Drosophila melanogaster: one gene and its partner. The protein of the gene in region 1 purifies or fractionates together with the protein of each later gene. This does not show direct contact. Each region holds a gene or a part of one and is shown on either strand. Other genes may lie near its edges. The genes, in order: qjt and Arpc3A.

Evidence for each region.
Region 2: the proteins of qjt (region 1) and Arpc3A purify together in Drosophila melanogaster (affinity purification with western blotting, with the first as the bait; one study listed by BioGRID). This does not show direct contact.

What each region holds. Positions count from the first base shown.
Region 1 is NT_037436.4:17,475,607-17,492,041, reverse strand, and holds qjt (quijote), read right to left. Parts: upstream 12,947-16,435; 5' UTR 12,791-12,946; intron 12,735-12,790; 5' UTR 12,681-12,734; coding exon 11,979-12,680; 3' UTR 11,901-11,978; downstream 1-11,900. Other genes in the region: CG6333 (uncharacterized protein), read left to right, coding at 11,177-11,797; CG13733 (uncharacterized protein), read left to right, coding at 13,236-14,093; CG34250 (uncharacterized protein), read right to left, coding at 15,416-15,473, 15,571-15,731; UQCR-Q (Ubiquinol-cytochrome c reductase ubiquinone-binding protein), read right to left, coding at 16,297-16,391.
Region 2 is NT_033777.3:15,827,130-15,844,134, forward strand, and holds Arpc3A (Actin-related protein 2/3 complex, subunit 3A), read left to right. Parts: upstream 1-7,518; 5' UTR 7,519-7,636; coding exon 7,637-7,642; intron 7,643-7,783; coding exon 7,784-7,957; intron 7,958-8,067; coding exon 8,068-8,421; 3' UTR 8,422-8,892; downstream 8,893-17,005. Other genes in the region: rec (recombination-defective), read right to left, coding at 3,225-5,488; CG4576 (uncharacterized protein), read left to right, coding at 1-267, 1,099-1,264, 1,393-2,096, 2,161-2,354, 2,419-2,759, 2,822-2,964, 3,036-3,140; CG43318 (uncharacterized protein), read right to left, coding at 5,639-6,154, 6,262-6,264; CG43317 (uncharacterized protein), read right to left, coding at 6,395-6,805, 6,907-7,236; ND-23 (NADH dehydrogenase (ubiquinone) 23 kDa subunit), read right to left, coding at 8,996-9,157, 9,226-9,677, 9,861-9,900; spn-E (spindle E), read left to right, coding at 10,354-10,551, 10,609-10,851, 12,570-13,303, 13,401-14,053, 14,143-14,276, 14,328-14,917, 14,974-15,121, 15,189-16,325 and 3 more; Pbp45 (PSEA-binding protein 45kD), read right to left, coding at 11,192-12,283.

The DNA of each region.
Region 1 (16,435 bases):
AGTCAAGTTCAAGGACTGTCAATTAAATTGAAATCACTTGCTAAAGACGCGTCGGAGCGAGCAGCCAAACAAGCTTCCAGTTGGAGGGAGTCCGGATTCCCGGGGTGGAGCAAGGAGGAGCACGGGCTCCAACTGGAGACCCGCTTCTTGTGTATCTATGTGAATCTCTTTTACTTTTTGCTTGACTCTGCACGCATCGCGCTTACATTGTGGTTGTTGTTGCGGATGCTGCGTAGTTACAGTGCGGTAATTGCCGCTGATGATCGTGATTCGTCTTCCTCTTGGCCGCTTCCACTGGCTGCTTGCCATCTTCTAGGCTGCTCTTCAATGGCTCTTTTGTATGTCAGCCCGGCTTTGGGGCTACGAGCAAGTCAAGTGCGATTTCTGGTTCCTTAATCGCTCGCAAACGGTTGCCATCCAGCTCCAGCATCCAGTCCCCGATATACAAATACATCTCGAGTGGGGCTGCTTTTGTCCGTCCAAAGAGAGAGGGCGTGTCGCTGGAGAATGTGGGAATCCATCTCATATGTATATTCGTGATTGGCATGGGGAATCGGGGCTGTTCGAGTGGTCTGGGGAGTGTCGAGCACATGATTTCGAAGACAAGTTCAGCATTTGAAAAGATACATATGTCTGCTCTGGATGAAGTGTGTTTTATTAAGCATTGTCTGTTGTTCATCCTACTTAGTTTGTGCATTTGCACAAATATGCTTCCGTTAGAAATAATCTTGTAATCATACGATGAGTACTATCCCTTATTTCAGTTCTTAAAGTGAGAAAATTAGCAAGATACATTGCATGCATTTTCTGTATCTTTTGGGACTACTGCTAAATCCGTTTGAGTTATTCATAATGTAAGGCCAACATCTGGCTGATAGTGGCGACTAAAGTTAGTTGACTAAGGCGGTAAACACGACCCCAGCCCAGCTCAACGACAATGCATGGCCAGGGCCAATTCCTAACTGTGTTTTTAGGCCAACTTTCAGTTTCTCGAAATGCGAATCGAGGTTTTCATATCAAATGTGGCCGCAGCCAGCGGCCTGAGACGCTCAAAATAAATGCATAATTAATGACGATTTGGCTGTACGTATTTGTTTCTCCAGTTGATTAGCATAATGCCAAATACATACAGCACCATATAAAATTATCAGCTTGGGCTTGTGAATAAGACTTATTTTTGTGTACAACTTTACACGTGCTCTGGCAAACGAATACAGCAATATCGAGCCAGTAAAAATCGATATACAGTGACTAAACTTCTTGAAAATTTCCTTTGTGTCAACGATGAGTAAATGTGTTTTTTACCCCGCTCTCTTGGCCAAGAAATTTATTTTAAACGTCAGGCAGATAAAACAAATGTCAATCCATCAGAAGCGAAGAGAGTTCCGAGGAAACGGAAGTTCTAAAGGATGGATATGTAATGGGTGTAATATAAGGTGGTATATAGATATATACGTGCGATCTATGTGAAACTGTCTGCCAATATTTGGACAATAAAACCATTTTCGCTTCGTTTCGTTAATCAATACAGAAAACTTTGTTTTGTTATTGTCTTTTTTTCGCTTTTGTTCATTTTTGTTATATATTTTTTTTTTAGAATATTTTGTATGCCAAGAATTTAAATTAGTAGAAAATCTGGTTTGTGATTTCGGGTCTGTTCTCTCAAGTTCCCCAACTTTTTTCTCATCTCCATCTGTAGCTCGTCTTCTCACTTCTACTCGATTCGTGTTTTTGTCTGCCGCTTCTCAACCGATTTCTTCATTTTCTGCGACGTTATTACAGGTGAATTTTGTAGTTCTTTCCCAGTTTTTGTTTGTATCTTTCTTTATTTTTCTGGACTTGGGGCGCATGGCGAAAAAAAGAGCGGAATCAAAAAACAAATTAAATGAGTTTGGCTGAAATCGAAATGCTTTGGGCCATTGATCATTTATTGGTCGGCGGAGGCGATGAAGTTAAAAGGAAACAATGGAAAAATATGGGAATGGCGAGGTAGACAAAGTTAGCTCCGAAACTTTGGTTATGGGAAACACCATAAATGGGTATTTTAACCATTTAAATGAAAATTTCTGTTAATCTAATGTTTACACAATCATTAGCTTTAAGTTTAGCTGTTGCACTATATACGTATTATTGTAGTATATTTTATATACAAACCTATTAATTAAACATATTTTTTAGGTAAACCAAACATAGAAGTCAAAAATGAAATGGAAGAAGCCACAATGAAGTGAATTAATTTATTTCAAATTGTAGCACTCATTTGACTTTCTCTATGAACCTGAGCAAAATAATGTAACTTCATGAATTTTTAATTTTGCTGCGAAAAAAATAACTTCAATTCGAGAAAGAATAAAGTGATTTCTCTGTCACTTTCAGATGCGTTTCCTGCTGTGTGTTAACGTCGTTTTAAGTGTTTAATTTTGAAATCCAAAAAATAAACGGCTCTGTAAATGTGTACGTATTCAATGCGATCAAGCAAATATATATAAATGGATAATAAAAATCGGTGATAACGAACCCGATGTGGGTCAGACGGAAAAGAGTGTTTCTTGCTGGTTTCTGGCCAGAACAAACACTCATATGATTGAGGTACAAAAGTGAAACTCTGACGCTCTGAAAGTCGGTAATTCTGAGTCGATAGTTGCGGTGCGGTATAAACATTTACATTTGATTAAACAGCGTTTATTGACTGTTTTCGTTTTTGCTTTTGTTCGGCCTTAATGCATTTCGCCGATATTCGGCTTTCGTTTTGCGAGGACACAAAAAGAATGCGGGAAAAAAGCCCATCCGAACCCAACCCATCCCAACCCGGTATCTGTATCTGCATCTGTGCATCTTTATCTGTGCGTATTTATTTTGGTTTTACGGCATGTATGTAATTACCCGGGAACCGAGTAAAGCAGGCAGAAAAGACAGAGAAATGGAGTGTGTTTCGTATTCTTTGGCCGGTCTCTTCTCCGTCGCGCGTCTTATCATTATTTCCGAGTGTGTATTGTGCGCTTTCTGATTGCTCTGCCCCCTTTTAACCTTCGTATTTAAGAAATTTCTTAGCCCATTACGATTTCACTCAATACGGCGTATGATTTTTGTAGGCCTTCCAACAAAAAATTACATGTTTCACTTTCTCTGGCGCCCGAATAGTCCCCCCCTTCGAAAACAGAAAAATAACAAGAACCGCGTCGAAGAACCAAAAGATAAATGCTTAGACATCGTCTGCCCCTCTCTATTTTGTTTCGAAATATCTTTTCGGGGTTTCTGTTTTTGTTTTCCCCACATCAATCAGAGAATGCTTCGTTCTTTCCATTTCTCTTGTGGGCAAGCATTGAAAAGGGAAATTTCTTTAGCCCAATTAAATGAAAAGAAACCAAATCAGGTTATTCCATGAATTTTGAGCTTATTTCTGGTTCTGCATGTTTGTTTGGCACTGATCGTTCTCTTTGAAATTTTATTTCGCCACAAGACTTAAATGCATTATACAAAAATTGTTTTTGGGAAATACACATTTTCAAATAAACAAATTCTATATATATGCAAGTTGAAGTAATTGTTAATTGGGGTTCTAAGTAATATTCACTTAAGCAAAGCTCTTATACTCTTATACTCTATTATTGACAAACCTAAATTGCCATCCAACTCTAAGTTCTTAAGTTGTCACAAAAAGTTGTCATTTTATGAACATATACAATTTATTTATTAAAGCTGTACTTACGCTTATCGCTCCTGTTTCGCTTTCTGGTTTTGTTGAATTTTTTCATTCAGAATTTGCTACGCAATTTACGCGTTTAATTTGTTGCTGCCTCTGTTCGCCGCACTCGTTTTTCTGTTATTTCACACACAATTTTTTTTATTTAATTGCACACATAATGAACAATATTAAATGCTATATTCGTATGTTTGTGCGTTGAAGACACGCACTCAGCCAATTGAAAATTGTATTTGCGGTTGGGTTTCAATACAACAAATTTATCAAGCACTCACTGAAAATGGAATTGGCACTTTAATTTTTTGTTAAAATGGTCTGAGGATCTTAACAATGATGTATTTATTGATTAAGTGTGGTTTTAATGAACTTCAAAAACGAGATTATTTAATATGTTATTAGTTTTATTCGTTTTCGTACAAGTTTCTTTAGGTTTTTGATCAGACAAATTTGTCAACCAGTTTTTTTTTTTTTAATATTTTTATAGTGTGCGAAAATATTTGTATTGAGCGTTTAGAAATTTAATAATTTTTTTCTGTGACTTGCACGACGAAAATGTGTGGATTCAACTGGGTTCTTGGACACAGGTATCTTTCAGGGAATATTGGAGGTATTGGGAACCGAAAACGAAACCGATTCGGAGCGGAGCGGAACCGAAAAGTCGAGCGACGCGTGCACTTACAGCGACGTCTGAGCAGCAAAAACTCGAGAATAACCAAAGTGCGGCTCAATTTATACGAGGAGTCGAAAAACACAGACCAGAAGATACATTTACAGATGCAGATACAGATACGCGTTCTCTTTGTGTTAGTGTATCTCAAAGATACTTCTAACCGTCACTCTCTTACGCTCTCTCTTCGCTGTGGGGGTGGTCTGTCTCCGCTGTTATCGTTATTGCCGCTCTCTCTGCGCGCTCTGTGTGTTTTGGTTATAAAAGTGTAGTAGATTTTTGGCATTTATCTGTTTTTGTTTTATTTGCATATGTTCAATATGCACGACCCACATTGTTGTTGGTGTTGTTGTTGTTGTCTGATCGCGGCGTATAGAAATAATACGTATACACATGTGTATATATACACCGAATGTACATATTATCTCTCTCGCCCCCCACTCGCACTCACACACACACACTCTCACGCACCGCACACATACAGTTGCACCGCCTGAGTTCCGCTGCCCGTCGGCACAGTCCGCACACGGTAACAATTCGAATACGAATACGCAAAACGGTCTGGCGAACTGAAAACAGCCAAAACTTTTCGCCTGCGCCGACGTCGACGTCGGCAGCGCAGCTGTTTGGAGCTGTTGGGGCTCTGTTAGGCCCCCACGCTGTTAGGGCTCTGTTAGTTCGGCTGCTCTCTCTGTTTGTTATCAGTGGCGTGCGCTCTTTTATCAAATTGGAAAGGGGATTTTGGAGATCAGACAGATCGACCTGGGTTAAACTTTCAGCATACCGGAATATTAGAATACATTACGTTTATAAGGGAATAATTGAAGTGGTTTTGATAGAAGTACCAATTCTTTCATAGAAAGACCTTTATTTTGATTGAAATTCGACAAGTTTGACTTTCTCTTAGCTTGGCTTAGTGTTTTTTAACTTACGAATCACATGTAGTACACAATATTTATTGTTGCATATGTACAATAAAATACATTTTCTGCAAATGACTCAACCAAGATTTTTCGTCTGGGTGGGGTGGGTAATATAAAAAAGTGAAGAGAAGTGATGGATATTCTAAGTCTATGATTCGATTGATTAATTTCTTATTATGAGCTATACATTATTTTCACTAAGGCATGAGGAACAGCTTAAAGCCTGAAAGTTTTGCATTTCAAAGAAAAGTGTTTATGATGAGGAATTTTGGTGGTTTAATGTTCGTTACATTAATGCTCGTTACATTTTAGTTAGTTCCAGCGAAGTACTAAAAAGGAATACTTTTTGCAAAACGTGCTAAATAGTTTCTATAAGTTGCTTTGTGTGTTTACCAAGTGATTTTTGCGATTAAGGGTTATCTCTTAGGTTATGCATCTGCTGTCTGTCGGTGCAACTGACTTTACAATATAGTCTACAGTCTTGGAGGCTAATGGAATTCAGTTTGCGAAATTCCTCGAGTAACTCTCTGGTCGCCTATTAATATTCATATGTGCAAAGTACGTATCAATTGCATATTCGGCGCAAGGTCGTCTGCCAAGCGGCCAGATAGATAGGCAAACTGTCAGATACGCGTACTCATGCAAAGTCTGTGCGCAATAATCAAGCAAATTGAGTGCAACGCAGGCGATGGCGCAGCCGTATCTATTGGCTACTCTTTTGGCAAACTCCCATCGATATCGGCTCGATTCGCAGCTAGACGGCTAATTACGTGACATGTTAGACGCGAAAACAAGTTAAACACGCTCGTTCGATTTGTGTAATTAATTGCAGGCCGAGACGAGCGAGAGCTCAAAAACAAATTCACCTCGAAATGTGCATTGAACTTTTGCGGTTGCTTTTCTCGCCGCCGCCGGATGAATGTTGTTTTCCCTTTTCGGTGGCTCGCTTTTTTTGTAACCAATTCTAGTTGCAATCCGCTGCTGATAACCCGCAGATGAACCCATGGGTGTTGGAGCTTCCACATTGAAGGGGGTTACGCATTCTGAGTGGGCTTGTTGGTGGGTGGGATGGGGCACGAGCAGCTGATGCAGCTGATGTGTGTGTGTCAATGTTTCAGCTTGTAAACAAACGGCAAGCAAATAATGACAAAGTCGACAACGAAACTCCAAAAGTGTTCCTTATTGTTTGTTGTATTGACTACATCGCTGGGCTTATCGCTAACCGTTGTCAGATGGAATAAACATTCACATTTATATGTGTTGCACACAATGTGGTGTGGTATGTATGTGCAGTGGGGCTTCCTTATGACGAACTTGTATATTACATATATTCCTATAAATATTAGGTATTTTTATTGCTAATAAAATAAAAAGTAGAAAAAGCAAAAGCTTGCCATACAATTACTTTTACTAATTCTTATTTCTTTAAGCGATTTCCCTAATTGTTGTTAATTTTTAATGAGCTTGATATTTTACTACTGAAAGGGGAATTGGATGGGGAAATGTTCTTATTTAATCTTGACTGAAAGCAGGAAGCACGCTTATGAATTGGATGAGTTTGAAGCGAATAGAACGGATCAAAAGTCGGAGCTGGCCTATAATGTGTGTCAGTGGTGATAAGCAAATGCGGGGGGTGGGAAAACTATTGTATAAGATCTGAACGGAGTCACTCGATTCTACTCCTCGATCGAATACAGTTTGCATTCGTTATAAGGGTACTTGCCTCTGCCACTCCGAGTCGCCCCATTCCCCGAGTGTGCCTGCCATGACTAATTAAGTAACCAAAAAAGTATGAAAAGAAGGCAAAAAGCTGCTCAAATTCTCAGCATTAAAACGTGCCGACAACTTTGTAAAGGCTGCCAAAAATGCACATTTTTATTTATATTCGCACACAAGTTGTTGGGACATGCTTTTTTGGAGTTGGAATCGATGCGAAGGGTAACTTAGCTGACACGTGAGATTTGAATTTAGCATTTGGGATAAGTGGAAAATGAGAATTATCTTGAAAGTATCTTTATTCGGATACTATTTTAATATGCATTTGATTTTTGTCAGACTAACCATAAAGATTAATCTTTAAATATGAATTAATTAGTAGGTAATAGTAACTAACAGAATAAGTACAACAAGATTTCTTAAGCTATAAGAAATGTAAATATTTAAAGATAATACGTATGTTTAAAAGAGTTAGAAATAAATTCGAAATGAATGTGAATAGATGCTTTTTATAGTCTAGCCAATAATTTGTTAATTATTTCTTAAATAGTGAATTTGCAATTGAAAGTTCCAACCATCATATTAGAGTACCAGTGGGTGTGTTTTAAGGGGCTGAAAGTCGAATTCCTGCCACATGGAGTTTCGATTCCTGGACTCTTCTGCCCGTGTGAATCATGAGCATTAAGCATAAAACCGACATTTAGCTGATTGATCTTAATAAGAATTTTTGCGGCGGGGCGGGGCATTCGGGCGGAGGATGGCTAACGGATCCGTTGGGACGGGTCAATAACATTGTGCGGATGCCTCCTTCTGATTCTCCCCCATATGCATCCCCATATGGATCCACCGATGTTGAGTCCCTGAATTTGAGGGCGTTGCTGGGCTGCGCCTGCGCAACATAACAAACTTTGTGTTTGTTTCCCCCACTCGATGGCGTTTCTTTAATAACTCAGAGTCGAAGTCAGAAATTTTTGGAAGCGAGTAGGAGCTGGGGGGTTCCCTTGTCGGAAATCTGAGTTTGCTTTGCTGAGTTATGTTGCATAGGGTTCTTTCATCCGACTTGGTGCGCGTTTGTATCTCCCAGTATCTTGCGATATAGATATATCTGCGATTTGCACCCAGAACGGATGTCTGTGCTCGATTGTTAAATTGAAATTTGTCGCCAAAAACCAGCAGAATTTGCAAAGCAAATTTCCGACCGAAGTGTCTGGCCTGTTGCATATTTCATATGTTTTGATTCTTGTCTAAAGCTACAGCTTTTTGGCGATTCCTCTGCAGATTTATGCGCAAGTGCTTAATCGAGGCAAGGATACAATAGAGGGTGGAAAAACTGTGCCAAAAACAGCAGTTTTCATTTGAAATCTTCGATAAAATGCAAGACTTCAAGAATTTCAGATTCTACGGTTTTTATTTTTATTATATACTATCAAATGAGGGTATTTTCAAGTAATTATTTCTGATTTATGCGGGTAACCATATTTTTTCTAAGAATATTTAGTGCAAACAAACAAAAAGCCCATAAATCAATTCACTTTTATTTGACTTTTCGAGTGCATTTGATTGTTGCTCTCGGGGTGAGCAAATTGCGCAATATCTACGTCGATTTTTGGCCGTCTAGCAGGCAAATTAAATCAAGCTGCACAGCCGAACACGAAATATATAACCTGATTTCGATGTCTGCAATTCAAATTAAATGCAATTAAACCGAAATTGATAGAAACAAAATCGAACGAATCCAGCAAGCTCTGCGTCTGCTTCTCCATTTTTTTTCCACGATGGCACTTGACAGCTCCTCCTTCTTTTCTGTTCTGATTGCCTTTCCTTCGTCCTTTAGACATCTCAAATTTCGTCTAGCCGAAGTCTACGCTTCTAAGGGGCTTATAAAAAAAAGTATATATAAAAAAGAACGAGACAGAAAAAGGCCCTGGACTTCTGGTTTGGGTTTGGGGTTCGCCTGTCTGCTCCCTGTCTGCTGCGTGGTTCCTTTGTGCTTGGCTTAGATGCTAGTCGGGTTTGGACCTTTTTTTTATGTTGTTTGGGTTAGTCTGCCGAAATTCTGGGTCTTTGTTTTGATTTCGCATTTTGATATCATCTTTCGGCATGTGCAAAGGGGTCGGAGGGGTGTGAGGGAATGTCGCTCTCAAAGCCGAATTTTGTATATATTATATGCGGGATTTATAGAGCTGGCAGTTAGTAGCGAGTCTGGTTGATGCAAGCCAAATTAAATAAATAATTAAATTATACATTTACAAGTATGGAGTTTCCTTGCCTATTCATAATTATTATTTATATTTAATACATTATTAATCTTTTACTGTTTTTATTATCCCTGCTGATTCACTACACAAGAATGCTGTGCTATTTTTGTAAAATAATATTATACATAGTTGTATAAAATTTATTTATATGTTTAAGGTTCCACATAATTTTTCGTACTACAAAAAACCCAATTAAGTTCTTGTTTTGTTTGGTATAGTAGACATACAATGGCTAAATTAAAATTAAAAATTAAAATTAATTAAAATCAACATTTTCAAAGGCCTTGTTATCTGAAGTACCACAATTACATTGTACCCTTTTATAGCCTTTTAACTATTGTCATTAACTATATCAGTGATAACAATTTTATGTATTTGTATTAATCTCTCATTTCAACTACTATCTATCGTTACTAACAGTTTTCTGCCAAAACGATTTTAACTTTTAATTTGATTTGACTTTAATTATTAGGCAAAGTATCATTGGAATCTCTTGGATGAACATCATTATGGTATTTAAAGCTCTTGATTTATCAGATTTCATTTCTTTGTATTAGAAACGTAATCAATGTGAGTTATTTTTATCATTTTTATTTATTAAAAATTTTAAAATTATTATTATTAAAATATATGTATATATTTGATCCGCAGATGTTTTCGCTCATCTCTGGCGAAAAATTACTCTTCCTCAATCTTTTGGCTGCCGAAAAAGTAGCCAGACGAATGTCCACATGTGCCGGGTATGTTGTATATAGTATCTGATGTCTGGACTTTTATTGTATGGCTGACCTTGAATTTATGGAAATTGCATAAGTGGGAAGAAGTTTGTCATATTAAGAAATATACTGGAAGCATAGAAAGCCGAAGGCAGTGATGGTGACATAAACGACCAGACCTTGGCATTGTGTTGAAGGACTGTGAATCGAATTATTCGAGGAAGTTGCTTGAATTATGGCTCAAGGGGGTACTTTGAATTTATGAGTATTCAGGATATTAAGAATGTCTTTTTTTTCGCCGGCCAGCACCATCCATCCATCTTCCACACCCCGAAAACCAAACGAAATCCGCTTCCTGCTGCCAAATAATTTACAACTTGCGAATGCGATGCACAGGCTATGGGAAGAAAACAAATAATGATCAGTCGCACATAATGCATGCATATATCCATGGGCATATCGATAACCCTTATCAAGTGTGCGGCATCGCGGCCAAAAATATACAAATTATGCTTACCAAAAGGCAGAGAAAACATAAATCAATGGTTTTGGAATACTCTAACCAAGACAGCAATGTATGAAACTTCAAACATTTTTCCTTATTTCCAAATTTACTTAAGAGATATTAAGATAAGTATACAAGAAGTGCAAATTTGTTGTACCTACTTAAATATTCATATGCATACATGTATGTACATACATATATGGTTATTTGCGTGTGGTTGGTCGCCTCAAGTGATGGGCGTGGCACTTTCAACTCTGGTTCAACCCATACAATCATGAAAACTCTGACCAGATCTTGCCAAAAATGAGCCCACCTTGAACCTGAGTTTATCAAATTGCAGTCATTTTGCTTGTGGTTTTTATAGTACTTTCAAATAACTGAGATTAGTTGGTCAGTATCGTTACAAAAAAAAGGGTAAAAGTGATCGACTTTTTCACTTTCCGCCAATTTGAGGATATTTGCAGAGATTTGAGTGTTGCATGATTCATAATCGAACATTTATATCATAAAAAAGTAAACAGTTCAGTTGCTTATTTATTACGCAGAATTGCCTTAAGAGTTCAATTAACCATTAAATATTTTTAGAGGTGAAACAACGTTTGCCCTCACTTAATCGACAAAATTTGAACTAATTCGAATAAAATTAAGAGTCAGAACGAATTCACGAGTGGCTAAATTATTGTTTAAAATGACCAAGGGCGTGAGGATTTGCAACGATGGATTGCCTGGTTTGCCGAATGAAAGGCCATATTCCCGAAGAACTTTAGATACGCGGCAAAAGACTCAGAAGATGTCCTCCAGGCCATCTAGGAAACCATTGCAGTCTCTACAAACTGTCGGTCGGAATACGAGTTCCAGCCTGAAGCGCATAGGAAGTCCGATCTCCGAGGAAGAATTTGGTGTCCTGGTGCAGCAGGATTGTAAGGCAGAGCAGCATCACACCGATCGCCAAAACCTGGCGGACATAATCCTTATGCAGGCCCGTCGCATCGAGAAGCAGCAGCGGGAGATGAAAAGAATAAAGGCGCACTATGAGCGCCAGGTGTCCACCATCAAGAACAATGCCATCATGCTGGAGTCGCATCTGCAAAAGGTGCTGGCCAGTGTCGAAAGGGATCGGGCCAAGCGGATTGGCCACCACTGCCAGGACATGCTCGGTGCCGTGGAGAAGCTGCAAAGGAGCGACATCCAAGTGAAGCCGCAATCTTCGGCCAACCAATTGCTGATCCAGTATCTTCACTCCAAGAAAATTTCGCATTCGACCAAGAAGTCCAATGAAAACACAAGTAGGTACAGGAATATGTTGTGAATCGTATTCTTGTGTGTACATTGTGGTTTCACTGGGTTTTGTGGTCAGCTTAAATTAGCATATATGTGTATTAATAGAAGTACAAGTTATTATAAAATAAAATAATGGCAACAATGAATTTATTTTATTTTACTAAGTTAATTCTCAACAAGGACGGAGTTGGGCACAATCATTATCTGTTCTATTCCTCGTCCTCCTCCGAGGCAGTTACATCCACGATCGCGTTAGACATGCTCTGTTGTATCTTTTGCTGGACATTGGCGTCCTGGACCAGGTGATCTGGCTGGATGTAGCACAAGTTGGCGCAGCCGAGCACCGGGCATCGGATGCCAATGCGGTCCATTATGATCGGCATCACCGAGTCGCGGTCGTAGATGTGACCGCACATTTTGTTGCGCATGGGGTTCTTTATCAGGGCCTTGGACCAGGGATCGTAGAACGAGAAGACCTCGCTGCCGGAGTCTTCCATAATAAGGTCCTCATCATAGGCGGTGCCATTCGCTTGATCATTGACTTCCGCACCCGCCTGACCAGCTGCTGATTCAACTGCTTTTACGAAGTTCTTGAACTCGTGTAGATTCTTGACATTGATGCGCTTCTGCTCCACCGCTTTGGAGCGTTCCTTCCAGACTTCCTCGAACTCCTCGATGGTGGCGCTAGAGTTTTTGACCTGATTCATAGCCTTGTTGAGCGATTGGTGCTTTATCTTCATATGGACTACATTCACGGCGTGCTCCACGCTCTGCTCAACGCTCTGCTCGAGCAACTTCTTGATCTTCCCGCCATCGCTGAAATCGGACACGAAATCTGACATTTCCTTGAAGAACTTTTTGTTTTCCACTAAAGTGGAAAGTGCGGAATCAGCAAGGTAATTGAATTCCATTTTATCCAGAATATTTAAGCCAAATGTTCAAGACTGATGGTTAGTTAGGCTAGCCTATTAATTAGTGGTCTTTGAATGGACTTATATTTATAAATAACGTTGATATTTACCTGAAATTAGGTTTTTAAGCAAATGCCACGTGGAATGTAATCGCTTAAAAACTGGAATCATCGAGAATTTATCGTAATTTACGATATCGATCTTAAATCGAAAGCACAGATTTTTCGGTTTTCGTTTCGTTCGAATTTTTCGATTTGTAAAACGGGCACTTTTATCTGGTCGAAATAAAAAGTAAATGCCTTTTTTTTATATCAAATCAGATCTTATTTACAGGGGAACAAATATCGAAGGTTGCCATTGAATTGCGTAATCAAAAAAAATTTCAATTACCGGAGCATGCTTGCATAACAACGTTTTATTTAAGTTTTTAAATGTCAGATCTCGGATTCCCCACTGAATGCCTTCAAAATCCCAATAGACACCCCAATCTTGAAGCAATTTTCCAATAGACAAGCCGTGTGTTTTGGACTACCAAAATTTCATTCGTCCAGCGCGATGCCATACCACGATCGAGCCAAAGCCCGATTGGAGAACGAGGTGGTTCTCCTGCGGAGCGAGGTGTCCTCGCTGCGCTCCAAGCACAACCAACATCGTAAGTATCGGCAGGAGCAGGTGGTTCTGCAGGCGCGTATGGAACAGGAGATCCAGCTTCTACAGAGCGAACTAGCCGCAGCTCAATCGAATCGGAATGAGCGGGAGTGCGGTGGAGCCGAGCAGTGTTCAGTGTTGAGCCAGCAGCTGGAGAAACTTGACGAGCACGTGGCTAAGCAGGAGAAGTACATTGCCTTCCTGGAGGAGCAGATCAATCTCACACGTAACAAGTACCAGCAACGTATGACCGAAGTCCGGCAGAATGCCGAACTGGTGGAAAAGGAGATGAAGCGGGTGCGCCGCGAGATGAAGACCATTGCCGAGCAGGCTGGGGAAGTGGACAGCCTCAAGAACCAAGTCGGTTTCCTCACCGCCAAGCTGGAGCGCCGGAACGCCATCATCTCCAGGTACGAAGCCCAGCAGGAGGAAATGATAAGTATCATGGCAAGTCTCCAGAAGAAGAAAGTTAAAAAAACGCGCCATCAGAAGATTCACAACAACCATGACGATAAAGCTGATGTCAGATCGATCCCTTCCGAACAGCTACCAATGCCCAAGCCGAGTGATCAAATAAAGCATCGCAAGAAACGGAAATTTGGCGAAGGCGATAAGGAAGATTCCAGCTCGGCGGGCTCTGATAAGCCACCAAGTTTTGAGGCGAATCCCAGGTCTTCAAAAATTCGATCCCATAACTTGGACTGCCTCTCCTCTGCGCTGAAAAATAAGTTAAGTAACCAGCAACAGTCAACTGTCGAGGGATGATCTGATTTCGTACCCATTATCTGATGGATATTCAAATTTATGGTTTTTAGATAAGCTTTTTACAAAATTTCTTCTGTAACCGAATATCTCTGTAAAAATTGTTATGTACATACATATATAGATCTCTTATGAACAGTAAATGATTAAACTAACCAAACGGAACTTCAGTCAGCACTTCGTTTTCGACGGGCGTCGGAGTTCCTGGAACTCCCGATTTACAAGTTCATTGACAAGCTGCTGGATTATCCATTCAGCAGTATGGAATCGGGTTAATGATCCGGCTTAATGGATGGCTTTATTTTGATTTATTTTGTGTGGTAAGCAATAGCTTAACTGCATTTGTTGGGAAAGTTTGAATGATCCGATGATGTAATTAATACATATGAATATGTATTAATCAATCAATTATTATTGTTTAATGCGTAAGTTGTGCTTGTAATAATGGTCATTTATTCACGGAAATTTCTAAGAAATGCATATGTTCTCTGATTATTATAAACTAATAATAAACTACTAAAGATGTAACTTTTTTGTTTATATTAGTAAGCTGTGAAGTTAGGTAGATTTTCAGGCTATATGAAGGATTAGACAGTTGCAGGACTATCAGTTGATGTTTAAGAATATTTATGGGATCCTTCATGTTCGTATAAGCAACACTAATCAGAAGAATAGGTAGACTTGTCTCAGTGGCTTATCCGAGGGCTTAAAGGTAGTGCTGCTATTTCTAGCCCTGCAATCAAGTCACGTTCGCTGGGTGTTCTAATGCAATATTTTAGCATAAGAGCACGTACCGCAGTATTGCATAAATTCTGAAAGTGCCGGGCAATGAGTCAGTACGGGATTGCAGAATGGAGCCAGCTGAAGTCGGGCGTCTATTGAATTCTAATGCTGCACCAGGAAGTGCGTGCAGACATTGGGCAATCAATCGCCGGTCAATTGGAATCGTTTGTGGATAGCAATTGAGTGTGATTGGATATGGCTTCTACTCCGGCAATTGGGGCAAAAGTTCAACAGTTTTTGGATGAGAATGCCTGTTCCAAGTAGGACTTACTTCGAGTATTCGAATAACCTATCTTATCGCAAGACAGCTTGCCAAGAATCACAGTCGCCTGATGATGAAATTAACAAATTCTGGGCTCTATTTTTTTCTTCTTTTTTTTTGCACGATCCGTGGAAGTCTCGGGGGCAGTCAAACCAGTTCACCCGGCCTTCGAAAACAATTATATTTTTGGGGTTGGGCGTGTTGTTGTGCAAACACCTACGAAATAACACGATGACCCTGAGACCGAAAAAAGCACGAGTACGTTCTAGCACCCAAAATATTACACATATAATGTACGTGACGTCACTGCCTCGAGGAGTGCTCCAAAAACCATAGAACTGAAACAAGATGCAAGGTGGCTTGTGGTAGTTATTATTAATCCTTAGCGTACATTACATTATGAGATATATTAAACACTAAACTGGATCCATCTACGTGACAGAAAAGCTGCGAAAATTGTTTTTCAGCAGCATGACCACGAAGAAAATGCCCACGGCAATCGACAAAAGCTGCACGTTGACCACCTTTGAGTCCACCAGGGCCTGTAGCATGTTGTGGATACTTTCGCTGCGCACTTCGTTACCGCAGCAGTCCATTAATGCACTAATATCGGATCAATAACCAATTAGAACGCCAATATTTTGCTTGCAAACAGCTGTGCGGTGGCTAGAGGTGGGGCTATTTACTTTTCTCACTCATCGATTGTTTCGGGTGACTTTCGATGATTGATTCTCTGCAACTCTAGCGGGTGACTATCAATGCTAAGACCGTTACCGAATATTAAAAACAAGTAAAATTTTTATTTTATTATTAAAACGTAATATATTGCCTCCATGTCGTGTTTTTTCTTTGAAATTCTCATCATATGAATTTTTTGTTATTTTATTTTGAGACATTGCAGGGCGAGATAGCTTGGACTCAAACCAAGACTGGGGAACAGCTGATGCAGCTGCTCATCCAGAAAAACAAATTCTCTCTAGAATTGTTTAGCAAACAGAGCAATAAAACTGATAAAATAGAACATAAAATTATCCCATGTGTAACGTATGAGTACAAAGCCTTTGGTGTTTAGCCTTCCAGCAACCGAAACACACAACTCTCTTGAACTGTGGGTTTAGTTTTATTAATTAGTTTAACATAACTATCTGCTAGTTGGGACGCTTATTCGTCGTTCGCGTAGTCAGCGGGGTTCTTGCGCAGCAGGGCGGTGTGCTTGCGTTCGGTCAGATCGTAGATCAGGTATCCCACGATGAAGGCTGAAAAATTGGGTATTAGAATACGATTCGACGGGAATCCTGAG
Region 2 (17,005 bases), on another chromosome or scaffold:
TACGACTTGGATGACTATGATCGTTGCCTCCAGGAATTGAATGGCCAGGCGTCCACTTACTGCTTCGTCCGCGCGGAAGTCCAGCCCGATGAGTCTGTAGCGGCATGGCGGGCAATTGCAGAGATTTCGCAGTACGATCGCCATCACTTCGATCACCGACAGCTCTATTTCGGTCTCTGCCTGCGCGAATGTGAGGCGTCTCTGGCCGGGTTGAATAAAAGCGAACTGGAGGCCCTGCAAGCCGGCCTGCTATCGGAAAATGCAAAGGTAAGGCCACACGGAGGTGTCACCTCATTGGTAGCGATTCAGCTGCGGCTAACGATCGATTTAATTCAATCTTCGAATTCGCTGCTGGGCAGATACAGATACAAATACACATATTTCAAAACCCATCCGCTTGCCGAGGCGTCGGCCGTAATGGTCAATCAACAATCATCGGACACAGAAGCCGGGATAACAACGCCAAAGTTTATTCAACTCGAGCTCCCCGTGAGCTGCACATTATGTGGGCAGTGGCGCAGTAAAGGGGGTTTTAGTTCACATATTTGTCATTGGCATATACAAAGGTTTATATCTGCTTGCTATAAAGAGCTATCATGTTTTAACTTCTTAAATATTCGAGTATGTTTTTAAACAGGTTTATCGTTTTTTGAAAGTGGCCAATTTCAAGGGTCCCTCTCACAACGAACATAAAATGAATCCCATTTCAAAGATCCCCCTTGCAGACGCCTCTGGCTAAATGCGTGATCTGTATCTTCATTACCTATAAATATTGCATAAATTACAGCCGGAAAATCCGCTGATTAAACATCGGATAGCGGGGCAATGGGTGCTGCCAGCAGATGGGAGATGGGGATGGGGAATGGTGTGGCGATGCCATTGATGCAGTCGCCATCAAAATGCATTTACGATGGCTGATTAAACAAAGCGCTTATATTGGCTTAGGCGTTGGCTAAAAATGGAAATGGGCGGTCAGACAGCGAAATTCGATCCAATTCCATCAAATCAAATCGAACTCATTTCTTTCAAGGCCAAGGGCCTGACGTTGACATTTTGGTATTTTAATGATCGCAACATGGTCAATGCAATATTCGGCAGGTGAACGTATATCTGGACTTGTTCTCGATGGAAGCCAATAACCGCCAACGGCACCAGCGCTTGACAAATGCCTGCCTGAACTGGCGTCTGCAGCGTCGTGGATTCGGGGTGCTGGCCAAGAGCGTGGTGGAGTACTGCGATGAGGCGGGACATCAAGTGGAAGATGGTGAGTCACAGATTATATCATCGTGTAAATAATGTTTCTTTGCATTAGCATCCAAAAAGTGTTATGCATTTAATGGCGATGAGGTAATACTAACGACCGATAAAATAAATATTCCTTCTCGGCTTTAGATGCGTGGAACCTGACCTTCTACGGAATCTTGGGCACTCTACTGGTTCTGGCTTGTCTGGGTAGCTTAGTGGATCTGCATCTAAAGCGAAGCCGTCATGATAAAATGCTCAAGGAGCGAGATCACTACAAGACACCGCCCAAGAGCACTGCCCAACAGGTGCTGCTCACCTTTTCGGTGGCCCGCAATTGGTACCGACTTAATCAGGAGCCAAGTGGTAAGATCGGTCGCGAGCTGAGATTTCTCGACTGCTTCAAGTTCTTTGCCATGTTCATGGTGATATTTGCGCACACCAACTGGGTGATTTACGAGAGCGCCATCAGCAATCCGCAGGATCCGGAGCGACTGCTTCACACGGCAGCTGGCACTTTACTCGTTTCGGGATCATTGATCACTGTGACCTTTTTTGTGATCAGTGGTTTGTTGCTTACCATTAACTGGCTGGCCGTTTCACGTTCGCTAGAATCTAAAAAGGACACCTGGAGCTTCGGCCAGTATGCTTTGCTATTTGTCAAGTTTAACATCTTCCGATACATCCGACTGACGGTTCCATATGCCTTTGTATTGCTCATGAGTGGCGTTTACTTTGAGAACGCTGGAGGTCCACTGTGGCGGCACATCTTTGAGCGGGAGCAGTTGGCTTGTCGACGCAACTGGTGGACCAATCTGCTCTACGTCAACAACTTTGTACGCACGGATGAGCGGGTAAGTAATGAGTGCTTTATCTAATTTATCATCTAATCCACTCAAAATTCCATTCGGGATGCAGTGCCTGCTCCAAGGTTGGTATTTGGCAGCGGATACTCATTCCTTTGTGCTCAGCTTGGTGCTGCTGATGCTGGGTCACCGGTTCGTCAGATGGAGCAAACAGCTCTATGCGGGCATTTTGGGTCTTTTTGTGGTGGTGCCAATGGTGCTCACATATGCCATGAACTACTATCCCATTTTTGTACCCACGCCACAGTAAGTGATCGGACTTAAAAACTTTACTACTTGATTACAATCATTCTACCCATCTACCAAACAGAACCCAGAAGGATTCCTTTATCGGAGATCGTCAATTCACCGAATTCTACACGTCGTCCTTTATGAACTTCGGTAGCTATTTCTGTGGAGTCCTGGCCGCTTTGGTTTACGATCAGTTGGCATTGAAGCAATACAAACTACGGGAGTTAAAGAGCTTCCAGCTTCTTTGGTTTACACTTATTCCAGTGGGGATTCTATGGCTGTTTAGTGCTCATCCCATCTTCCAGCACTACTACGTGACGCCGTCGGCCATTTGGGGAGCATTATATGCCGGCCTGCAGCGAAACATCTGGGGCTTCGGGCTGGGAATCTTCATCGTGGGCATGGCCAGCAAAGTGGGATGTAAGTATCAACTGCGAGATATGCTTGGTATATCCTTGGCAAATCTTACTGTTCTTTCACAGGGATTTTCCGTAAGTTCTGCTGCTTGCCCATTTTCCGCATTTTGGGACGCCTCACTTATGGAGCCTTTATCGTCCACCTTCTTGTGGCGAGAATCGTCTTGGCCACAGTGCGGGAGCCCATTTATTTTGGCACGGGCATGATGGTGAGCTCACTTCTGGCATTCAATAGGAATTGGATTTTATGTAACTCAAATTGTTCTCATCTTATCTACAGTTTGCTTTCATCTTTTTTACGGTGACCGTGTCCTATCTCTGCTCCTTCTTGCTGGCCATCTTTCTGGAGCTTCCCGTCTCCTCCTTCCTCAAGCTTATGAGGTAGCCCAATGTCCTAACTTAAAGATTACTTATAACTAGAATAAAAGACATAACTTAATTAAATCCGTCACCAAAAAATTTCACTTACCCTGCGCCAATCTGGCTGGAAACGTCTTCATCGAGATTGCAGCTTCCTTTGAGCTCAAGGAAGTAACGCAGAACAGCATTGCTGGCGTCCTCGTTTAGGACCGGATTTAATTCCTGGCGAGCATAGGACAAGAACTTCTTAATCAGTATGGGTGGGAGCAGGTCCAAGTCCCCCTCCTCCGGAAGTACCTCCAGACGTTTGTCAAGATCATAATCCTGCTGCATAATGCTGTCATTATCGTCCTCCGTTTTGATTGTGTCATCATCTTTTCCCGCTGCCGGCACATTAAGGCTGACCTCGCACATGGAGTCGCTCATTTTGGGCTTAAGAGCATAGCGGGCTGCAATTCTCGCTCGTTTCCTAGCGCCCGCATGGAGAGCCCTTACGTGGGCAGTCAGCGACATATCTCTCTCCGAGGGCTTGTCCAATAATATGTAAACCAAATGGAACTCCCGCAGCAAAGAGGGTGAAATATTAATATTCTGTAGAAGGTAGCGCCCCTCATCGTATTGTCCTCTTTGTGGATTTGCGCACGCTATCACCGAAGGTTGCGCCGGGAATGAGGCAAATGCTCCTGCAAGTGGAAGATTTACTTCCTCTGATTGTAGGCACTGCAACAGTACGGCCTGCTTGGAGGCAAGTTTATCCACATCATCGAGGGTGCAGTGACCGCCTCCACTGGCCATCATCAAGGAACCCGCTTGTAGCACACGCTTGTTACGCCCAGCAAACGTAACACCCAGTTGCTGTGCGGATTGAGCCCCACGTTTTCCACTCACGTGGGCACCACGTTCAGCGATCTGAGCACAACTTTGCAGAATCTTGGTCTTTCCAATTCCGGGATCACCCACCAGGAGCACGTTGATGGCTTCAGTCTCCGCACCTTTCCCGCCGAGAAGGGATAGTAAACAGGCGGCTTTGGGTAGCTCATGTCCGTATACCTCCGGGGCAATGGATTGCACCAGTAGCTTAAAGCTGTTGGGTTCCGCATTGATCATGACAATCGCTTCCAAGTCACGTTCGCTGAACTCCCGCTTGATGCTGCTCGCATCGCGAATGCTGACTGCCTTGAGATAGGGCTGCATCTGGTTGGAGGTGTCTCCAGTGGTGGTATCGTCGCCCAATTCCTGCAGCTTAAGGATGCCAGTTACCACGACCTCCTGTCCGACACGCACAGCATCAACTAGATCATGTCGCAGCTCCACGTCCATTTCAGCAGGCATGCTGGTCTCAAAGTCGTGGACCAAGTTCAAACTGGACTCCTCCACGCGGATAATCTGTCGGATTGAAAGCCTGGTGTATGGGGAACTGCGAAGAGGCACGAATTCGTCACGAGCCACACACTCCGACCGCTTGCATTGATAAGGACGTGGCTGGAAGGTTCCCCGTTGGCGCATGGCAATCTCCATCTGGCAGCGACTGCAGCGAAAGGCTTGCCACGTGAGGCTGTAGCTAGGCTCGCCCACATTGCTCACAAAACCCCGGATGGAAAACAAAGTGTCCACTCGGGAATGGCTTATTCCTTCTATTGATTCCACAGGCACAAAATCATCCGGTCGTGCGTAGATCTTGCGTACCCGTGGGGTTGGAAGGACGTACTGTTCCGGAGTGGACACCATAGCTGTGGTGGAATCATTACAGTCCAGCTGGTGATTGACGACCACAGTGTGCATAGCCAACGACAGGGTTCCTAGCGTGCGAAGCGGGTGCTCACGGATGTCTTCGGACAAACTAGGCCAAACCTCCTTTAGCTGGGCATCTGATTTGATGCCTGCTGCGCAGAGGGGGAAGAATCCCCGATCCCGTATCATCACAAAATCGAAGGTGTGAGGATTACGTTGGTAGTATGCCTCCACGGCCATTATCCTTGTGGCCAGTTCGTTGCCCTCCTCGTATTTCTCGCGCAAGAAGTACAGTCGCCAGCCGGAATAAGCCCGTGGATTATCCACCGCAATGCTCTGCACCTGGAGCCCGTCTTCTGGTGCGGCATAGTTTTCCGGCCGCAGAAAGCTGCAGTCCAAGTGAGCATTGCGTCCTCGCTTGCCGGCTGTGCGGCTCCAGCCCCTGGGTTGCCGAGTTGCAGGCGGAACAGAAGGAGCGTCTGGTGCTCCAGGTTCCCCTTGGTTGGGTTGTCGATTGCCTCCGGCTGGGATCACACGTCCATTGCGCCGAAAGTAGAAGTACGGACGGTAGGCTCCGCCTCCGCGACCACGACCACGCACAAATCGCGATGGGGCGCCCCCCCGGGAAAGCGTTGGATTCATTTCAGCTGGGGAAAGTTTACAAATTTGCCCGCTTTTAAATAGAGATGATACCTATATTACAAATGACATGAAATATCGATAACGATCTTTGGCTAAGATATTGAACCCTTAACGATTTTATATTTAAACTTATAAATCGATGTAATAAAATTATTTTGGAATTATTTCGGCGGACACTTGTGATATCTTCGATTCTTGCTTCAGTATGCTCAGCTGGGCGGGAAGGTAGTGTTCAAATACACCCGATAGCTTCGACTTGACCTCACGAAATGTTTCCAACACTTTTATCTCCTCGTTCTCATCAGTGGGCTGCACGGCCTTTAGTTCATGTAGTAATTCGGTGCAGCCGTCGAGGAGCATCACCTGCTTCAGGTGAAGCTTAAGCAGCTCCTGCTGAATTGTCTTGATGCACTGGATTTGTTGGTCCATGCGCAGTGGAATCGTGGAAAGAGCCAACATTTGCTCCATATGCTTTTTATCCTTCACGAACATTTTAGCAGCACTTTCCATGGCTTCAGCAGGTTTTGCTTCAATCTCCTTGGGATCTTTGTGCTTTTTATCCTCCACGATCGTTTTATGAATAATTTCCATGTTTTCAGCAGGTTTTGCTTCAATCTCCTTGGGATCTTTAATGCACGGAGCTTCCGTCTCGGTTTTAGCTGGAATCTGTAAGGGAAATTAGGGCTTACTAACTAACTAGCCTTAGAAATTGACAGCTATCGCCTTTTTTTTTGGTTATCTACAGCTTTGTATTTATTTATTTTTTTTTTTACCATTTTGTTCTCTGCTGAAAAGTTTTAGAGACCGTATGCAACCAATGATAAAACTGAATAGCAGATCGAATACTAAGTCAAAGCCTCCTTTTAATAAGAAACTCATAGTTTTTTACAGAACATTCAGAGCGATCTAGGGTTCTGGTTTCTGGTCACCTTTTTTCGGGAAAAGTGAACTCAGATTGACGGGACAGTTGTCCAGGCGGGCCAGTTGCTTAACCATGTCATCCAGGAGCAGGCTGTTCCGCTCGTCGGAACCCTGGATGAGCCCGTAGGCCTCTGCGTTGGCGATTCGGTGCTGCAGAAGCGGCATGTAGGGTCCATTGAAATGCGGCTGTCCATTGGCCAATTCCGGCGGAGGCTTAGCAGTGGGAATAAAGTCCGTTTCCGACTTTGGGGACCGGCAAGTCGGCTGGTTTGGCCGAAACTTTGGAGTCCTATAGCCCAACTTTCGCTTCTTTTCCGCCTGCAAGTGATTTTCGCTCACGTCGTCGGACTCGTAATGATGGTTATAAAACCGGATGCCGTATATTGCGGGCTTTGGCTAAATTAGGTAGATTTATCTTTAGATAAATTAATATTTTGTGTTATAGATAGTGTTGATGGTTAGAAACTGAGACATATCTCCAAATCTCCAATACTCACAGCTCTCTTGCGCTCCTCATCGTAGCCATCGTCATCCGAATCATCATCCTGTTCATCATTGTCCATTTCAATGGGAATCCGGTCACTGGTCACCGGCACCTGGGGCACGAATTCTGAGGCACTTGCTCGGAGTCCATTAGGGGAGACCGCGGTCGGCGGAGAAGCAGAAGCCGAAGTCGGAGGAGTAACGGCTGGAGTCACCTCATTGCTCATGGACTCTAGTTCCAGACATAAACGTTTGTAGGCCATCGTGGTTCTTTCCAAGTGGTTGAGATCCAATTTGCCAGCGATATGGGCAACGTTCTGGAGGAATTTTTTACTTTCATCCATAAAGAGCGAAGTCACAATCAAATTCCTTTGTGGATGGCGCAAACATTAAAAATTTTAAACATTTAACACAAACTTGATTTGTTTAGCATTCGATGTTTCGATTCGATTTCTGACAGAAAATCTGGAACTGTCAAACATATTTAAATTGGTTGATGTACAACAATTTATAAAAAAATATTAATAACGAACTAAAAAACTTGTAGTATTTAATGGAATTGTCCACAATTTTAAAAATTTAGCTCAGTGTGACCATTTCGGTCGCGACTTATCGGTCTTGTCGATAAATTAGAGCTGCAAAATTTGTAAACAGTGGACGCCTATAATTAAAAACAATATTTAACATCGAAAAAATAACGTTTTCAACGTTAATTTAAATAATTAATTTAAAATACAATTCAACATGCCGGTTAGTGGATACTTGCGCATCAAAGGCAAACGAGTTGGCGTTGAGATATTCCCAGTTCTTTTCACCTGCTTTCGTGACCCCCTGCCAAGCATAAAAATTTCCAAGGGAAAAGGCAATCTTGTAAATTAACTATGCTTTCAGGCCTACCACTCGCAGATCAAGGAAGTGCGCCAGCAGGTGGGCAACATGGCCATCCTGCCGCTGAGGACGCAGGTGCGCGGGCCAGCGCCCAGTGCGAATATTGAGAGCGACATCATTGATGAGTCACTGTACTACTTCAAAGCCAATGTCTTCTTTCGCACGTACGAAATCAAGGTGAGGCCGTAATCCGGGATTCAGAACCATTACCTGGTCACGTGATGGTCATATTGAATCCTTATGCTACTTGCTACTTGAATTCACAAACTATGTTTTACCATTTTCAGTCCGACGTGGATCGCGTGCTCATCTATGTGACGCTCTACATAACAGAGTGCCTCAAGAAGCTCAATCGCTCCACGAGCAAGGCCCAGGGACAGCAGGACATGTACAGCCTGGCCATCTCCAAGTTCGACATTCCCGGCGATGCTGGCTTCCCATTGAACGCCGTCTATGCCAAGCCGCAAACGGCCCAGGATGCGGATCTGATGCGCCAGTACCTGCTGCAGCTGCGCCACGAAACCGGCAACCGGGTACTGGAGAAGGTCTTCAACACCGAGGATGGCAAGCCCAATAAATGGTGGACCTGCTTCGCGAAGAAAAAGTTCATGGAGAAGAGTCTGGCTGGACCTGGACAATAAACAGCTATCCACAATATCTGGTATCTTGTTTTGCTTCTACGACGGGTAAAAATACCCTTCAATTAAGTTTTACTCGCAGCGTGGTCCTAATTTGCAGTATCACTGCCAACGTGTCACAATTAATTAAATTCATTAACCACTAAATAAATTATTTGAATTTGTAAGCCTTTCTGTTTTAATTAATTTATGTAAATTCTTTTTACAAAATTAACGTGGATAAAACTGCAAGTAACTTTCATAAATAATATCTGTTTCTAATAACTGACCAGCAAATGGAAGTTATTGCCTATAATTTGTGTAATCAAAATCGGAATAGTAAAGTATTAACTAAGTTTCATTTATTTGTAGTCGCTCCGTCATTGGAAAAAATGCTTTCTATTGGCCTGTTAATTAAATAAACTTTGTCATCTGTCGAATACAACGTGGAACTCTTTGAATATAAATAATTTATATTTATTAGGCCAGTTGAGTAATTAAAAAAAATACAACTGACTTTCGCTTAAGACGAAGCCACAGCAACGATCTTTAATTGGAAAATCGTTCTAAACAAGGAATTCTAGGGGTACAAGCAACTTTAACGATAGAGATGGTCGGCCTGCAAGTTAGAGGCAATCTCGGACTCCCACTTGTCGCCGTTGCAGAGAAGCTTCTCCTTGTTGTACAGCAGCTCCTCGTGCGTCTCCGTGGAGAACTCGAAGTTGGGTCCCTCGACGATGGCGTCCACGGGACAGGCTTCCTACGCGGGGGGACAAAAAGATGCAATTAGTTTCTAGTAAATTGTGGCGCCACTTTGCTCCTCCTCACCTGACAGAATCCGCAGTAGATGCACTTGGTCATGTCGATATCGTAGCGTGTGGTACGTCTGCTGCCATCCGCGCGCTCCTCCGCTTCGATGGTGATCGCCTGTGCGGGGCAAATAGCCTCGCATAGCTTGCAAGCGATGCAGCGCTCCTCTCCACTGGGATAACGACGAAGGGCATGTTCTCCGCGGAATCGCGGGCTCAGTGGTCCCTTTTCAAAGGGATAGTTGATAGTGGCCGGTTCCTTGAAGATGTGCGCCAGGGTGACGGCAAATCCACGTAAGAGTTCACCGAAGAACATGGTGGATGCAGCACGGTCCGTGATGTCGGCAAACTCCATGCTCAGTTCCTTGTTGTTTACATACACATAGCCCTTGGGAACCTCGACGATATCTTTGGGTTCTGCTCGCTGGGCGGCCAGCAGCCGGGCTCCATGGCTGCCAAACAGGCGCTGTCCTGTGGGGAGAACATTTTACCATTAAATAACATGCTTAAGTCGAAAAGTTATACTGAATTAAGCGAGTTTAGACTTTTGTTTTGGTATGACATAAGCTTACATAACCTCACTCGCCGCGATTTCCACGAAAATGGGAAATTTCCCGGAAAACAACGGATGTGAGGGGATGGGTCGCCACCTACCGTTGCGCGATGCGGTGAAAATTCGCATAGTTAGCGACATTTTTGCGACCAAATTAAACTAAAATTGCCAAAGAAGTTGTTTTGCTATTGAATTTGCCCGAACAAATTAGAGCTGGGTTTCTTTCGATTACCCACATAAATTCAATGCTCAAATATCGTATTCAAATATATCGTAGTTTCTTAATGACATAAACCAAAAATAAAATATGAGATATAAAATATAAATAATGTAACAAAGAATTAAATATTCGTGTAAAAATAATAAATAATATTAACAAATAATCCAGAAAGACTGTGAGAAAAAAAAGAAAACATTTTTTTTATACGAATACCCCTAATAAAAACCTTAAAGCTTCGATAATGGCACTATCGATATAAATTCGCACTTTTACACTTTTCAACATTGACTTTGAAAATCCCCACCACTACAATTTACAGTTTAACTTTTCCCGCTACGCGGAATTGTGAAATTTTTCATTGTTTATGTCGGAAAATGGATCAGGAGGTTATGGATTTCTTTGACTTCTCGAAGGAGTTGAAGCGCGTGGCCGCCGCCCCGCAAGGCTACATCAGCAGCGATCCGAGGCTAATGGCCACGAAGTTCAAATCATCCGAAGTGCCCAACCGCGAGTTGATCGGCACCGACTATGTCAGCAAAATCGTCGCCAAGGAAAAGTGTCTCCTGAACGGGGTGAGAACTGGAAGCTTGCGTCAGCACTTCTGTTTGTTTATGTGTAATTCGATCCAGACGCTGCTCAACGAACAGCCTCAAGGCAAACGCATTCGAACGCTGGACGATTTGGACACCGACGATGAGGGGGAAGAGACCGAAATTCGCCGGGATGACGAGTACTACAAGAAGTTCAGATTCAATCTGAATCGCGACAAGAACTTGTCCATCTACGCCAAGCGCGAGGAAATATTGGCGGCCATCAATGCTCATCCGGTAGTCATTATTAAGGGCGAAACAGGATGTGGCAAGACCACGCAGGTGAGCAAAACTTAAATAAAATCCTAACTTTTTTATTAAGTCTATATTTTAATAAAGCCAACGCAAGCGAATTATAATTAAACCTTTTATCCTCGACTTTTGAAATTCAAATCCAAACTAGTCGAGAGTATTTAATATTATATAATAAATAATAATCTTCAATATACTTTTCAACTCTTTATATAAGAATAGCAAAGCCTAGGAAACTTATATCCTATATAGTTATATATCCTATCCTACATACTTAAATACAATGAATATTTTATGTGCAACAGATAAACAAGATCACATCGCGCAAAAATGCTAGTTATTTAATTATGTAAAAGTTTTATAAACTAACTCAAGTATCCAAAATAGCTTTGAGTTCTTCTTCCGTGACCTCCTCGCTTTCACCCACTTCCATTTCCTCGTCGTCACTAAACTCAATCATCTCATACTCTTGCTGCACGTCTGCTGGAAGTTCCCTCTGAAAAACGGTGGCCGAGGACATGCGGCGTTGATAAGTCTCGTTGACCTCCAGCTGCACTTCTAGTTCATCCGCCTGGTTTTGCGGCTCCCGTTCCTCGACGCCGTACATGGCCTTGTTCCGCACCCTCTGGCGCACTTCCAACTGGTTGCCTGTAGATGTTGTGGTACAATTCTCATCTGGAGTACTCTTTCTAGCTCCTAGAACACTTTGGATATCGGCAAAGACTTCTCGCAAATGGCCGAATATTTGAGAGGGCGGCAAAGCGTGCTCATGACCAGCCGCCAATTGCTTCTTTTGGGCATTGTATGCCGCTTCCAGTTCACACAATGGCTGGCTTGCCTGGTCCAGTGCTCGCAGACCCTCCAGTTCGTATGTGAGACTGACGCCGTTCGCACGCTGTTGCTTCTGCATCAAGGCACTCTGCCTCTGTTCCTTGGCACCCGCTACGGTCTCCACACGGTCGTAGTCCACCAGATTGTCCAACCCCTGGCAATAGTCGAGCGCGGTGAAGCGGAAGGCCTGCTCCTGGGTCAGGCGCCACAGCATGTAGGCGATCTGATGAGTGTCCTTCCGCTCCGGACTATCCTTGCGCAGATCTAGAGCGTAGTCTGTTAGTTCTTGCCAAGTGCGCGGTGAGACCTCGATCTTAATAAAGTTGTGCGTGGGCTGCTTGTAGTAGATTACGTAGAGCAGAAAGAAACCTCCGATCCTTTGAGCGCGAGATGCCGGGAAAACGTCCCCGGTGGTGCGTCGGGAGCACGACAGTCGCTTGGCCACATGCAGGGCCGCCAGTGTGGTGGCTATCACCTCTGTGTGGTTCGTCTGGGCAGTGAAGAGGTGCTGCAGCTGCAGTTCTCGCCAGCACCGGCAGAACACCTCGAACTCGCAGTTTTCGCCATCATTAACCAATCGCTGAAATCGTTGCACCAGCTCCCAGCAGTCGTCAAAGATATTCAGCTCCATTCTGAATCTTAATTACGCGAAATATATGCGCATCTCTCATTCAAAAGAGCCTCAAAATATAAACAATAACATTCGCCGGGAATAAGCTTTTACAACACTAGCCGGGGAGTTCATCGATAAATATGTAGTGTTCATAACTGCTTAGCTATTTTCAAAAAAAAAGCGCAAAACTATAAAAACTGTTTGAAAAATGTGTAAAAAATACAATTACATTTTTGTTCTGCTTTGTAAATATTTAGATATTTTCTTATAATTATTATTAGTATTCAATCAATTATTCTTACAGGTGCCCCAATACATTTTGGATGAGGCCTATAAAAGCGGTAAATACTGCAACATTGTGGTGACACAACCCCGGCGCATAGCTGCCATCTCCATAGCGAATAGAGTTTGCCAGGAGCGCGAGTGGCAGCAGAACACGGTGTGCAGCTTCCAGGTGGGCCTGCACCGCCCGAACTCTTTGGAGGACACTCGTCTGTTGTACTGCACCACCGGGGTGCTGCTGAACAATTTGATTAACAACAAGACGTTGACCCACTACACCCACATTGTGCTGGACGAGGTGCATGAAAGAGACCAGAACATGGATTTTCTTCTGATCGTGGTGCGTCGCTTGCTGGCCACGAACTCGCGGCATGTAAAGATTATCCTGATGTCGGCCACCATCGATGCCAAGGAACTGTCCGACTACTTTACCACCACTAACTCAATTCCGCCAGTGATCACCACCAATCATCGACGTAAGCACTCGATCGAGAAGTTCTACCGTGACCAGCTCGGCAGCATTATTTGGAATGAGGAAGATGTGGGACACCAGCAGGTGCCAGAAATCAACAAACACGGTTACAGGGCAGCGGTAAAGATCATAGTGATTATTGACAACATGGAACGGAAGGCTGCAATCCAGTCGCGGCAGAGCTATGACGAGGCCCTGCGCTATGGAGCTGTGCTCATCTTTCTGCCAGGCATCTACGAAATCGACACGATGGCAGAAAATCTTACTTGTATGCTGGAAAACGAGTAAGCATTGTTATCCGTGAGAATTGCTCACTGTACAAATTTTGAAGTAGCTAAAATTGTATCATTATAATTTCCAATCTTTATTGTTTAATTGCAGCCCCAACATTAAGGTCTCTATTGTTCGCTGTTTTTCGTTAATGACACCGGAAAACCAACGGGATGTCTTCAATCCCCCGCCTCCCGGTTTCCGCAAGATCATTCTGACCACAAACATTGCTGAGAGCTCCATCACGGTGCCAGATGTCTCATACGTTATTGACTTTTGTCTTGCCAAAGTAAAGGTAACCGATACGGCTAGCAGCTTCTCTTCGCTCCGCTTAACCTGGGCGTCCAAAGCCAATTGTCGTCAGCGTGCCGGCCGCGTTGGTCGTCTTCGTAGTGGACGCGTTTACCGTATGGTTAATAAACACTTCTATCAGAGGGAAATGCCCGAGTTTGGAATACCAGAAATGTTGCGCTTGCCCTTGCAAAACTCGGTGCTCAAGGCCAAAGTGCTGAATATGGGATCACCGGTGGAAATCTTGGCATTGGCTCTATCTCCGCCGAATCTGTCGGACATACACAATACAATATTGCTTCTGAAAGAGGTGGGTGCTCTGTACTTAACAGTAGACGGCATCTACGACCCGTTGGATGGCGATCTTACCTACTGGGGCACAATCATGTCTCGGCTGCCGTTGGACACACGTCAGTCCCGGCTTATCATATTGGGTTATATTTTTAACATGCTCGAAGAAGCTATTATTATAGGTAAGCGGGCAACAGTAGTTAAGCTTTAGGATAACGGGGGGAATATTCTTTGTCTTGCATTAATGATTTTTTTTTTAAATATGTTGTAGCTGCTGGCTTATCGACGCCTGGCTTGTTTGCGCACGAAGGTGGTAGGTCTCAATTAGGCGATTCATTTTGGATGCACTATATCTTCTCCGATGGATCTGGCTCCGACTTGGTGGCCATTTGGCGCGTGTATCTGGTAAGTTATGCGATGCATTACTAATAGCGTAATAACTTGTTTCTTCGGCAGACATATTTGAACATTGTGGAAAATGGTCACGACCAGGAGTCTGCTATCCGTTGGGCCAAACGTTTCCACGTCTCCTTGCGGTCACTTAAGGAGATACACTTGTTGGTGCAGGAACTGCGTGTGCGATGCACGCATCTCGGTCTGATTCCGTTTCCTGTTAATCCTAACCAAATGATGGACGATCGTGAAAAAGCGATCATGCTCAAAGTGATCATTGCAGGTGCCTTCTACCCAAACTACTTTACGCGTTCCAAAGAGTCGTGTGCAGACACAGATCGCAATATATACCAGACAATATCGGGCCACGATCCCTGCCGCACCGTATATTTTACCAATTTTAAGCCTGCCTACATGGGCGAGTTGTACACTAGGCGCATTAAGGAGCTATTTCAGGAGGTCAGGATTCCGCCGGAAAACATGGACGTTACTTTTCAAGAGGGTTCGCAAAAGGTCTTTGTCACTTTCAAACAGGATGACTGGATTGAAGGTTCATCTAAGTATGTTCCTGTGTCGGGCAGAGTTCAAAGTGAGGTGTACAAGGCAGTTATGATGCGACAAAATCGTGTCGAACGGCCAATCCACATAATGAAGTGAGTTATCAAGGCTTTTACTATCGATTATGAAGCTTATGTTTAATCATTTACAGTCCGAGTGCATTTATGAGCTACGTACAGCAGCGAGGGATTGGAGATGTGATTGAGGGCCGTTGGATTCCACCCACAAAGCCTTTAAACGTCGAGCTTCTTGCGCTGCCATCTGTCTTTGACAAAACTATTTCAGGGTCGATTACTTGCGTAAGCTGCTGCACCACACAAATCTAGAGAATTTCAAAGTATTTTTTTTATTTTTCCTATCTTACAGATCGTCAACTGTGGCAAGTTCTTTTTTCAACCCCAATCTTTTGAAGAGTGCATTCGAAATATGTCTGAAATTTTCAATGCTCCACAGCAACTAAGAAATTACGTAACTAACGCGAGTGCCATCGCAAAGGGCATGATGGTGTTGGCCAAACGCGATAGTTATTTCCAGCGCGCCACAGTGATCCGGCCAGAGAATCAGAGCAATCGCCAACCAATGTTCTACGTTCGCTTCATCGACTATGGTAATTGCACTTTGCTGCCCATGCAGCTAATGCGTTTGATGCCGAGAGAGCTAACTGAACAGTACGGCGACCTTCCGCCACGTGTTTTTGAGTGCAGGCTGGCAATGGTTCAGCCCTCTTCAGTGGTCAGTGGAAACAATAGGTGGTCCACCGCGGCTAATGATATGCTCAAGACAGTGGCCCAATGCGGTCTAATCGATATTGAGGTGTATTCGCTTTTCAATAATGTAGCAGCTGTTCTCATTCATATGAGAGATGGCATAATCAACGATAAGCTAGTAGAGCTTATGTTGTGCCGTCGATCCGACGAAGATTATATGTCTAGAAAAGATCATGATTTCCGTTTGCGACGTCAAGAATCTGCCCGGAACTTGAGCACGGCGCAGCGTCAACAGATCAATGAGGAATATCTGCGATCCTGTCAGCTGCCGCAAGACCACGATCTACCACCGCCTCCGCTGGAAAAGTGCAAGACCGTTGTAATGTTGAAAGGACCCAACAGTCCTTTGGAATGTACTATGCGATCCATTACTCGTGTGGGCTTAAGTAAACGGGTGAATATAGACCATTTGTCCGTTAATGCACTTCTCCTGGATGCTGATCCTCAAGATCACCACGATCATTTGATAGTGGCCCACGAAATCGCGGAGAGTAGAAACGGGCAGACACTGACAGCCCGTGGAACCACCCTGATGCCCAATGTGCAGGGATTCGGTGCTCTAATGGTTATGCTATTTAGTCCCACTATGCAACTTAAATGCAATAAAGAAGGCACATCATATGTCTCTGTTCTGGGAGGATTGGGTTGTGACCCGGACACAAACGAGCCCTACTTCGCAGAGCATGACGTGTTGATTAATCTGGATGTCAACATTCTCGAAGATGATGTGATTTTGGTGAGCACGCATAGTACGAATATATACAGAATTGCATTAATTTTCTGATATTTATTTTAGATTAATCAAATTCGCTACTATATAGATAGTGTCTTCTTCAACTTTAAGGAAGAAAACAATCCAGCTGTTAGCGTAAATGAACGTGTTTCTATATACACTCAGCTGCGTAGCCTTATAAATAGGTAAGATTGCTGCGCTTAAAGTCATGCTAATTAAATGATTTCACTAAATTTGATTTCGCAGGCTCCTTTGCAAGGATCGTAGATATATCGAAAGAAATATGAGCAATGCGGATTTTGAATGGGAAACCAATCCCGAACTACCACTGCCGAATGAACCTTTTGGCAAGAGGGCCATATTTCCGATGCACTCACTTACTGAGCTCCAAGAGGAAGACACGGGTCGCTTGGTGCAACTGAGAGAGAACTGCAGCATGTTGCACAAATGGCGCAACTTGTAAGACTGGTGCTTGTTTACAAGAATATATTGCATTACTTATATTTTAACTTATATTTTTAGCGAAGGCACTTTACCCCATATGACTTGCAAACTGTGCAATCAGTTGTTGGAATCGGTTCCCCAGCTCCGTTTGCATCTCCTGACCATATTGCATCGTGATCGTGAAAAGCAAATCGACTATTGCAACCAATAAGAATGGTTACATCGTTTAATATGAAAAC